Linked DNA regions of Ovis aries. The protein of the gene in region 1 interacts with the protein of each later gene in a biochemical or structural test. Links are inferred from orthologs where the notes say so. Each region holds a gene or a part of one and is shown on either strand. Other genes may lie near its edges. The genes, in order: NR2F1 and BCL11A.

Region 1 (4,432 bases):
AGGTCGAATAAATAATCCTCTTCTTTTCCTCTTTCTTGCTCCTTCTTCTGCTTCTTCTGCTATAACACACAGAGCTAGTTAAAAAAACCCTGGAGATCGCCCAAAAATGTTCTTTTTTTAGTATTTTAAATAAGTGCTCTTCAGCCGGGAACCAACACCCTCCCTCCAAAAAAAATCATATATGTATAAAATAACGATAAGAAGAATACGAAAGGGGTGCCTCCTCCTCCTCTCTCTCTCTCTCTCTCTCTTTTTTTTTAAGTTTAGCCCTCACTCTTCTGCAGGAATGGAGTAAAAGAGAGGAGGAGGGAGAAAAAGGAGAAAAAGAAGAATACGGGGAAACAACTAATAGAATATGTAAGAAAAGAGAAAGGGGAGAGAGGAGAGAGAAAGAGAGATTGAGAGAGAGAGAGAGGCGGAGGAGAGAGAGAGAGGAGAGAGAGAGAGAGAGAAGAGAGAGAGACCCCAAAATTGAATGCGTTTAAACGGGAGGACTCGCAGAGCAGTGTTTCCGAAAGGGGGATCTGTGCGAATGTCTGTATATAGTGAACTTTGACACTACTATTGAAACTGACACGTTTCTATGGAGATCGCTGCCTTATATGGAGCTCGTGTCAAGGAGCCAAGAGAAGGGCTGCTGGCAACTGATAATCAAAGGCGACTGACTGGTCAGAGCCCTGAATCGGGGGGAGAGAAAATGGGAGGCTAAGGTTAGCCAAGCCTCCTGCACGCCATTGGTTGGAGAGCCCCTCCCCCCTCCTCTTTTTCTTTCTTTCTTTTTTTTTTCTTTCCCCTCCCTCTCAGCTACCTACTGACGGGGATGGCGAGGGGAGGAGGAAAGAAAGTGTGTGTGTGGGGGGGTGTGCTTCTGACAAGCGCAATTTACATTGAGATCGCCCTGCGCTGCTATTTACTCTGAGACCTGATTAGTATGGGTCGTCTATGGTCACACACACACACACACACACGCACACACACACACATACACCAACACCAGAGGGGGAAGGGACGGCGAGGGGAAGAATGCCTTGCAATGGGTAAAAAAAGAGAATCAGGCATTATTTTGTTTTCTTCTGAAAAGTTTTTAAATTTAGCTTTTATGAGCATGAAGACGATCATTGGAAATGTTAGGAAAATTTTAAATGGGAATTAAAACTCTTACCGTTCTAACGAGTCCTGAAAAATATTCTGGGTTTGTATTGTTTTGTGTTTTCACATACAAGCACAGCCCTAGAGTAGATTCTGCTCATTTTATATTCCTTTAAGAAACAAAGTAGGGACTTGCTGGCTTTTTTTCTCCCCCACCTTGATCCAACGTATATTTTGGTTTTAAAATGAAAGGTTCAATTATGACAAAAAGCACTCCTGGAATTCGCAGAAATTGCCCCCCAAATCAGTCCGAATCAATGGTTCCTCTTCATCCCAAAGGTGATGTTTAAAATAAACTCCCCCCCCCCCGATTTTTCCTTTTTTTCCTTCCCCTTTTTGATATCCTCAGGCTGTTTTAACCTCCAAAGAACGCTCCAATAATTGTTAATAAAAGAGTAGTAAGTTCTCATATTGCTGCGGGGGGGGGGGGCGGTCAGTGCGGGCCGAGTCCGAGTCCCAGGAAAAGGGGGAAAAGGGTGAGAGAGAAGGGATGAAGATGGGGAAGGGAGGTGGGGATGAGGAGGGTGGGGGGGGCGAGAGAGGGAAGAAAGGACGGGGAGAGAGAGAGAGAGATAGGGGAAGAGGGAGGGGGCAGAGAGAGGGAAAGAGGGGAGAGACCCCCGGTTCCCAAAGGCGATTGGTCGCCAGAGGAGGCCCGGGCGGGAGGAGCGGGTCCCGCCGCGAGGCCTGCAGGAATCGCTGGCTCCGGCTGCCACCTAGCGGACGGGAGCCGCGTCCCGGAGACGCGCGGTCGGGTCCCCTCCTCCTCCCCGCCTCCTCCTCCCGGCACGCAGCCCTGTGCCTTTTCTGCAAACCAAGACACAGCACTTTGAAAATTCTTTCAATGGATTTTTTTTTTTCCCTCCTCCTTCTTCCTTGAAAGATCGTACTGAGGGAAAATGATACTTCTATTAGTTACATATTCTCCAATCGCACACTCGCATCTTTCCCCCCCACCCCACCACCTCCTCGTTCTGCGATCGCTCCCCTAGGCAGGCTCAGGCGGGCGCGCAGCGGCGCCGAGTGACAAAGCCGCCGCCCGCAGCCGCCGGGGGGTGCGGAGCTGCGCGCCTGCCTGCCGCCCCTCGACTCTGGAGAGCGTCAAAGTTGTCTCAGCTCCAGCACCCCCGAGCCTCCACACGCCCTCAGGTGAAGGTGGGAGTAAAAAAAAAGGCCACGCTGTTATTGCCGGAGGTAGGGTTTGTGTGTTTTAATACTCGTTCTCCCTTTAAATGTCATCAGGGAGGGGGTTTGGGGGAAGCGCTGCCCCTTCGGGGTGCGTTTTGCGCTTCCCGGTCTCTCTCCAGTCCTACTGAGAGTCAGGAACCTGGCGACCGCTTAGTGTCGAGCGACGATGCGAAAGAGCAGAATAAAGGCTTTCCTGTGTCTTGCCCCCCCGCCCCGCTGCCCCGCAGCCCCTCCAGTTCGAATAATGAAGGGACACAGTCCATGCACTCTGCAAGCAGCCGCCCCATTGTACGCTTCAGGGGAGGCGACGGGGGGCCAGCGAGAGCTCCTTGCCCTTTCTCGTCTCCCCAAATAATCGCGCCGAAGTCTCCTGGTCAGTTAAAAGGTGAAACGAGAACACGATTAAAAGAACAAAAAAAAAAAAAAAAAAAAAAGGAAGGAAAGAGGAAAAAAAAGAAGGAAAGAAGGAAGCAAAAGAATGAGTTTTCTCATATGAATTCTAAATGTTCCTACTCATAGAGTACAAAGGCAGGCAGTCGAGGGCAGAGGAAGCAGGCAGAGAGGGAGACCGGGAGAAGGAAAAGAGAACTTGGAAAGAGACGGAGCGAGTGCAAGAGGCAGCGCGAAGCGAGCGCCAGGGAACCGGAGGCTCCCCGCGCCTGGACGCCCTGCTCTCGGGCCCGGCCGCCCTCGGACCCAGGACCGGAAGTCTTGGGCGCCAGAAGCCAGAGCCGGCCCATCTCTGCCGCACCAGGCAAGTAAGGCGATGATTATCGTTTCTTTTGAACTCGGGGTGGTTGTTGCAACGCGGACAGGCCGGGAGGCAGCGATTGCTCGCACGGGTTCCGCAGGCCGGGGGGCGGGGGCGGTGCCCTCGGTCTAGCCAGAGGGGAGGGTCGAGAAGAACTTATCGCGGGGGGGCCTGCTCCGGAGCCGCCCTCCCCCCGGCCTCTGTCCCGCGGCGGCGTGGAGAACAGGGATCGCTGCCCGCGGGGCCGCCCCGGAGCTGAGGATCGCGCCCCACCGAGCATCGGCCCAGATTCAAAACTGATTGCCCTCCCATCTCCATTTGCCACCCTCCTCCCCACCAGCGGGAAGAGGCTGCGGAGCCTCTTGGAGGAGGGGGGGCAGACGGAGGGTCCACAGGTTGGGCAATCCGCGCCGCCGCCCCTCAACCCCCGCCCGCCCCAAACCCCCTTGGCGGGTGCCAAGCCGGAGCCGCTGTGGAGTCGGCTCGTAGCCCGCGCCTTGCCCGGCTGCAGCCAGGCCCGGGTGAGCTCGGCTCCCGCTGCCCACCTGCGGACGCCGTTTGCAACGGGATCCCCCTAATGTAACGCGATCGATGGCTGACTGTTTGATGTGGGTGAGAGCGTCAGCGGATTAAAAGGGACCCCCAAGCCGCTCTCCCGAGCGGAGAACCCGCGGCGGCGGCGGCGGCGAGAGAGCCCGAGATCTGCAGCCAGCCCAGCAACCAGGGGACGGGGCCGGGGGCGGGGGCGGGGGCGGGGGCGGGGAGGGGTCACTTCCCCCGGGGGTGAGGACTGAGCCCGAGTGCATGAAAGGAAGAGCCGCAATTAAAACCGACCAGCGAGCTCTCCGCGCAGGGCAGGGGCGCGCGTTTGCGTCAGAGGGCGCGCAGGGCGGGCGCGAGGGGGCGGGAGGAGCCGACGCCGGGGGCCGCGCCCGAGGGCTGGGTGGGCGCGGGAAGGAGCCCGCGGAGCTGCCTTGGCCTTCCCTTGGCCGGGCGGGCTAGGGGCTAAGGCGGGGCTGGAGGACGAGCGGCGGCTCCCCGAGAGCCGTGGGGGCCCATACACCCTCTCTAAGGGGCTTCTTCCTGCCGGCCCCCCTACCCTGAGCTTCCAAACTTGGAAGAGGCCCAGGGGGGATCCGGCGTGCCCCGGGGGTGCTGGGAAAGAAGTGGAGGCCTCGAGAGGCTTCAGGCGAAGCCTCCTGCCTCTCCGGAAGGAAGGGAGGGAGGGGTGCGCCCCCGCCGCCCCCGGCCCCCCCCCCCCACGGCGGCCTCAGTTACGGAAAGGGGGTCGGGCGGCTGTTGGAGATGGTGCTCTGAGCCGTGGAAACTCTCGGGTTTTCAAAG
Region 2 (3,806 bases), on another chromosome or scaffold:
GTGCACGCAGGCCAGCAAGCTGAAGCGCCACATGAAGACGCACATGCACAAGTCGTCCCCCATGACGGTCAAGTCGGACGACGGCCTCTCCACCGCCAGCTCCCCGGAACCGGGCACCAGCGACCTGGTGGGCAGCGCCAGCAGCGCGCTCAAGTCCGTGGTGGCCAAGTTCAAGAGCGAGAACGACCCCAACCTGATCCCGGAGAACGGGGACGAGGAGGACGAGGAGGACGACGAGGAAGAGGAGGAAGAGGAGGAAGAGGAGGAGGAGGAGCTGACGGAGAGCGAGAGGGTGGACTACGGTTTCGGGCTGAGCCTGGAGGCAGCGCGCCACCATGAGAACAGCTCGCGGGGCGCGGTGGTGGGCGTGGGCGACGAGGGCCGCCCCCTGCCGGACGTCATGCAGGGCATGGTGCTCAGCTCCATGCAGCACTTCAGCGAGGCCTTCCACCAGGTCCTGGGCGAGAAGCATAAGCGCGGCCACCTGGCCGAGGCCGAGGGCCACAGGGACACTTGCGACGAAGACTCGGTGGCCGGCGAGTCGGACCGCATAGACGATGGCACTGTTAACGGCCGCGGCTGCTCCCCGGGTGAGTCGGCCTCGGGGGGTCTGTCCAAAAAGCTGCTGCTGGGCAGCCCCAGCTCGCTGAGCCCCTTCTCCAAGCGCATCAAGCTCGAGAAGGAGTTCGACCTGCCTCCCGCCGCGATGCCCAACACGGAGAACGTGTACTCGCAGTGGCTAGCCGGCTACGCAGCCTCCAGGCAGCTCAAAGATCCCTTCCTGAGCTTCGGAGACTCCAGACAATCGCCTTTCGCCTCCTCGTCGGAGCACTCCTCGGAGAACGGGAGCTTGCGCTTCTCCACGCCGCCCGGGGAGCTGGACGGAGGGATCTCGGGGCGCAGCGGCACGGGAAGTGGAGGGAGCACGCCCCATATTAGTGGTCCGGGCCCGGGCAGGCCCAGCTCAAAAGAGGGCAGACGCAGCGACACTTGTGAGTACTGTGGGAAAGTCTTCAAGAACTGTAGCAATCTCACTGTCCACAGGAGAAGCCACACGGGCGAAAGGCCTTATAAATGCGAGCTGTGCAACTATGCCTGTGCCCAGAGTAGCAAGCTCACCAGGCACATGAAAACGCATGGCCAGGTGGGGAAGGACGTTTACAAATGTGAAATTTGTAAGATGCCTTTTAGCGTGTACAGTACTCTGGAGAAACACATGAAAAAATGGCACAGTGATCGAGTGTTGAATAATGATATAAAAACTGAATAGAGGTATATGAATATCCCCTCCCTCACTCCCGCCTGCCACCTCCTTTTTTCACCATTCCCCGCCCCCCCTTCCCCATCGCCCTCCAGCCCCACAACCTGTAGGATTTTTTTCTAGTCCCATGTGATTTAAACAAACAAACAAACAGAAGTAACGGAAGCTAAGAAAATGAGAGTGCTTGTCACCAGCACACCTGTTTTTTTTTCTTTTTCTTTTTCTTTTTTTCTTTTTCTTTTTTTCCTTTATGTTCTCACCGTTTGAATGCATGATCTGTATGGGGCAATACTATTGCATTTTACGCAAACTTTGAGCCTTTCTCTTGTGCAATAATTTACATGTTGTGTATGTTTTTTTTTGTTTTTTTCTTTTTTAAACTTAGACAGCATGTATGGTATGTTACGGCTATTTTAAATTGTCCCCGATTCGTTGCTGAGAAAACACCGTTGCTGTTTCCAGTTCCGTTCTGAGAGAAAAAGAGAGAGAGAGAGAAAAAGACCATGCTGCATACATTCTGTAATACATATCATGTACAGTTTTCTTTTATAACGTGAGGAGGAAAAACAGTCTTTGGATTAACCCTCTATAGACAGAATAGATGGCACTGAAAGAAAATCTCTACACGGTAAATGTCTGTCTCTAAAGGGTTAAATATTATCAATTGGAGAGGAAGAAAAGGCCTTTAATTGACAAACTAACAGAAAAAAAGTTTATTCTATCATTTGGTTTTAAAATATGAGTGCCTTGGATCTATTACAACCACGTTGATGGTTCTTTCTACTTGTTATAAACTTGTAGCTTAAATCAGCATTGGGTGAGGTAATAAACCTTAGGACCTAGAGTATAATTCTATATTGTATTTCTCACAACAATGGCTACCTAAAAATATGACCCGTTGTCCTAGTTAATCATCATTTTCCCTTTCGTTTAATCTTGTAAGCAAAACTGATTATACCAGTATAAAAGCTATTTTGCTCCTGGTGAGAGCTTAAAAGAAATGGGCTCTTTTGCCCAAAGTTTTATTTTTTTTAACTGATGATTAAATTGAATGTGCAACGTGCAAAGGCCCAGAAACATGATTAAATACATTAGTAAGGAAGTCATTTTATGAAGATAACTTGTTTTAAATAATGTCTTTTGAAGAAAAATTCTGGCGTCAGAAGAAATAGATCCAGACCTACTTGGTTGTCAAATGGACAATCGAACAATAAATGTTAGGACCTCGAATAGCATGTTAAAAAGAAGAGACTGACGATAAGGTTTGACAGAGGGTAACAGAGGGGGAAAAATATGTGATTTATTAGCACAACATGGTACTCTTTGCCATTTTAAACTAGAACAGGTGTATAAGCTAATATTGATACAATGATGATTAACTATGAATTCTTAAGACTTGTGTTTAAATGTGACATTCTTAAAAAAGAAGAAAAAGAATTTTAAGAGTAGCAGGATATATGTCTGTGCTCCCTAAAAGTTGTACTTCATTTCTTTTCCATACACTGTGTGCTATTTGTGTTAACATGGAAGAGGATTCATTGTTTTTATTTTATTTTTTTAATTTTTTCTTTTCTTTTCTTTTTTTTATTAAGCTAGCATCTGCCCGAGTTGGTGTTCAAATAGCACTTGACTCTGCCTGTAATATCTGTATCTTTTCTCTAATCAGAGATACAGAGGTTGAGTATAAAATAAACCTGCTCAGATAGGACAATTAAGTGCACTGTACAATTTTCCCAGTTTACAGGTCTATGCTTAAGGGAAAAGTTGCAAAATGCTGAAAAAAATAATTTGAACACAATCTCATTGATGAGCATTTTTTAAAAAAAAAAACTAAAAAAAAAAAACTTTGCCAGCCATTTACTTGACTAATGAGCTTACTTACTCGGACTCAACATTGCAAGCGCTGTGAATGGAAAACAGAATACACTTACCATAGAGATGAATGATTGCTTTCGCTTCTACAGTGCAAGGATTTTTTTGTACAAAACTTTTTTAAATATAAATGTTAAGAAAAAAATTTTTTAAAAAAACACTTCATTATGTTTAGGGGGGAACTGCATTTTAGGGTTCCATTGTCTTGGTGGTGTTACAAGACTTGTTATCCATTTAAAAATGGTAGTGGAAATTCTATGCCTTGGATACACACCGCTCTTCAGGTTGTAAAAAAAAGAAACATACATTGGGGAAAGGTTTAAGATTATATAGTACTTAAATATAGGAAAATGCACACTCATGTTGATTCCTATGCTAAAACACATTTATGGTCTTTTTTCTGTATTTCTAGAATGGTATTTGAATTAAATGTTCATCTAGTGTTAGGCACTATAGTATTTATATTGAAGCTTGTATTTTTAACTGTTGCTTGTTCTCTTAAAAGGTATCAATGTACCTTTTTTGGTAGTGGAAAAAAAAAAAAAGACAGGCTGCCACAGTATATTTTTTTAATTTGGCAGGATAATATAGTGCAAATTATTTGTATGCTTCAAAAAAAAGAGAGAGAAACAAAAAAGTGTGACATTGTACAGATGAAAAGCCATATAATGGC

What was found.
Region 2: the proteins of NR2F1 (region 1) and BCL11A form a complex in vitro, tested with the Homo sapiens proteins (2 studies listed by BioGRID). The link is inferred for Ovis aries from reciprocal best matches to the Homo sapiens genes NR2F1 and BCL11A.

What each region holds. Positions count from the first base shown.
Region 1 is NC_056058.1:90,688,318-90,692,749, reverse strand, and holds the start of NR2F1 (COUP transcription factor 1), read right to left. Parts: upstream 3,050-4,432; 5' UTR 1-3,049. UniProt on the Homo sapiens protein: Coup (chicken ovalbumin upstream promoter) transcription factor binds to the ovalbumin promoter and, in conjunction with another protein (S300-II) stimulates initiation of transcription. Binds to both direct repeats and palindromes of the 5'-AGGTCA-3' motif.
Region 2 is NC_056056.1:63,542,321-63,546,126, forward strand, and holds part of BCL11A (B-cell lymphoma/leukemia 11A), read left to right. Parts: coding exon 1-1,270; 3' UTR 1,271-3,806. UniProt on the Homo sapiens protein: Transcription factor. Associated with the BAF SWI/SNF chromatin remodeling complex. Binds to the 5'-TGACCA-3' sequence motif in regulatory regions of target genes, including a distal promoter of the HBG1 hemoglobin subunit gamma-1 gene.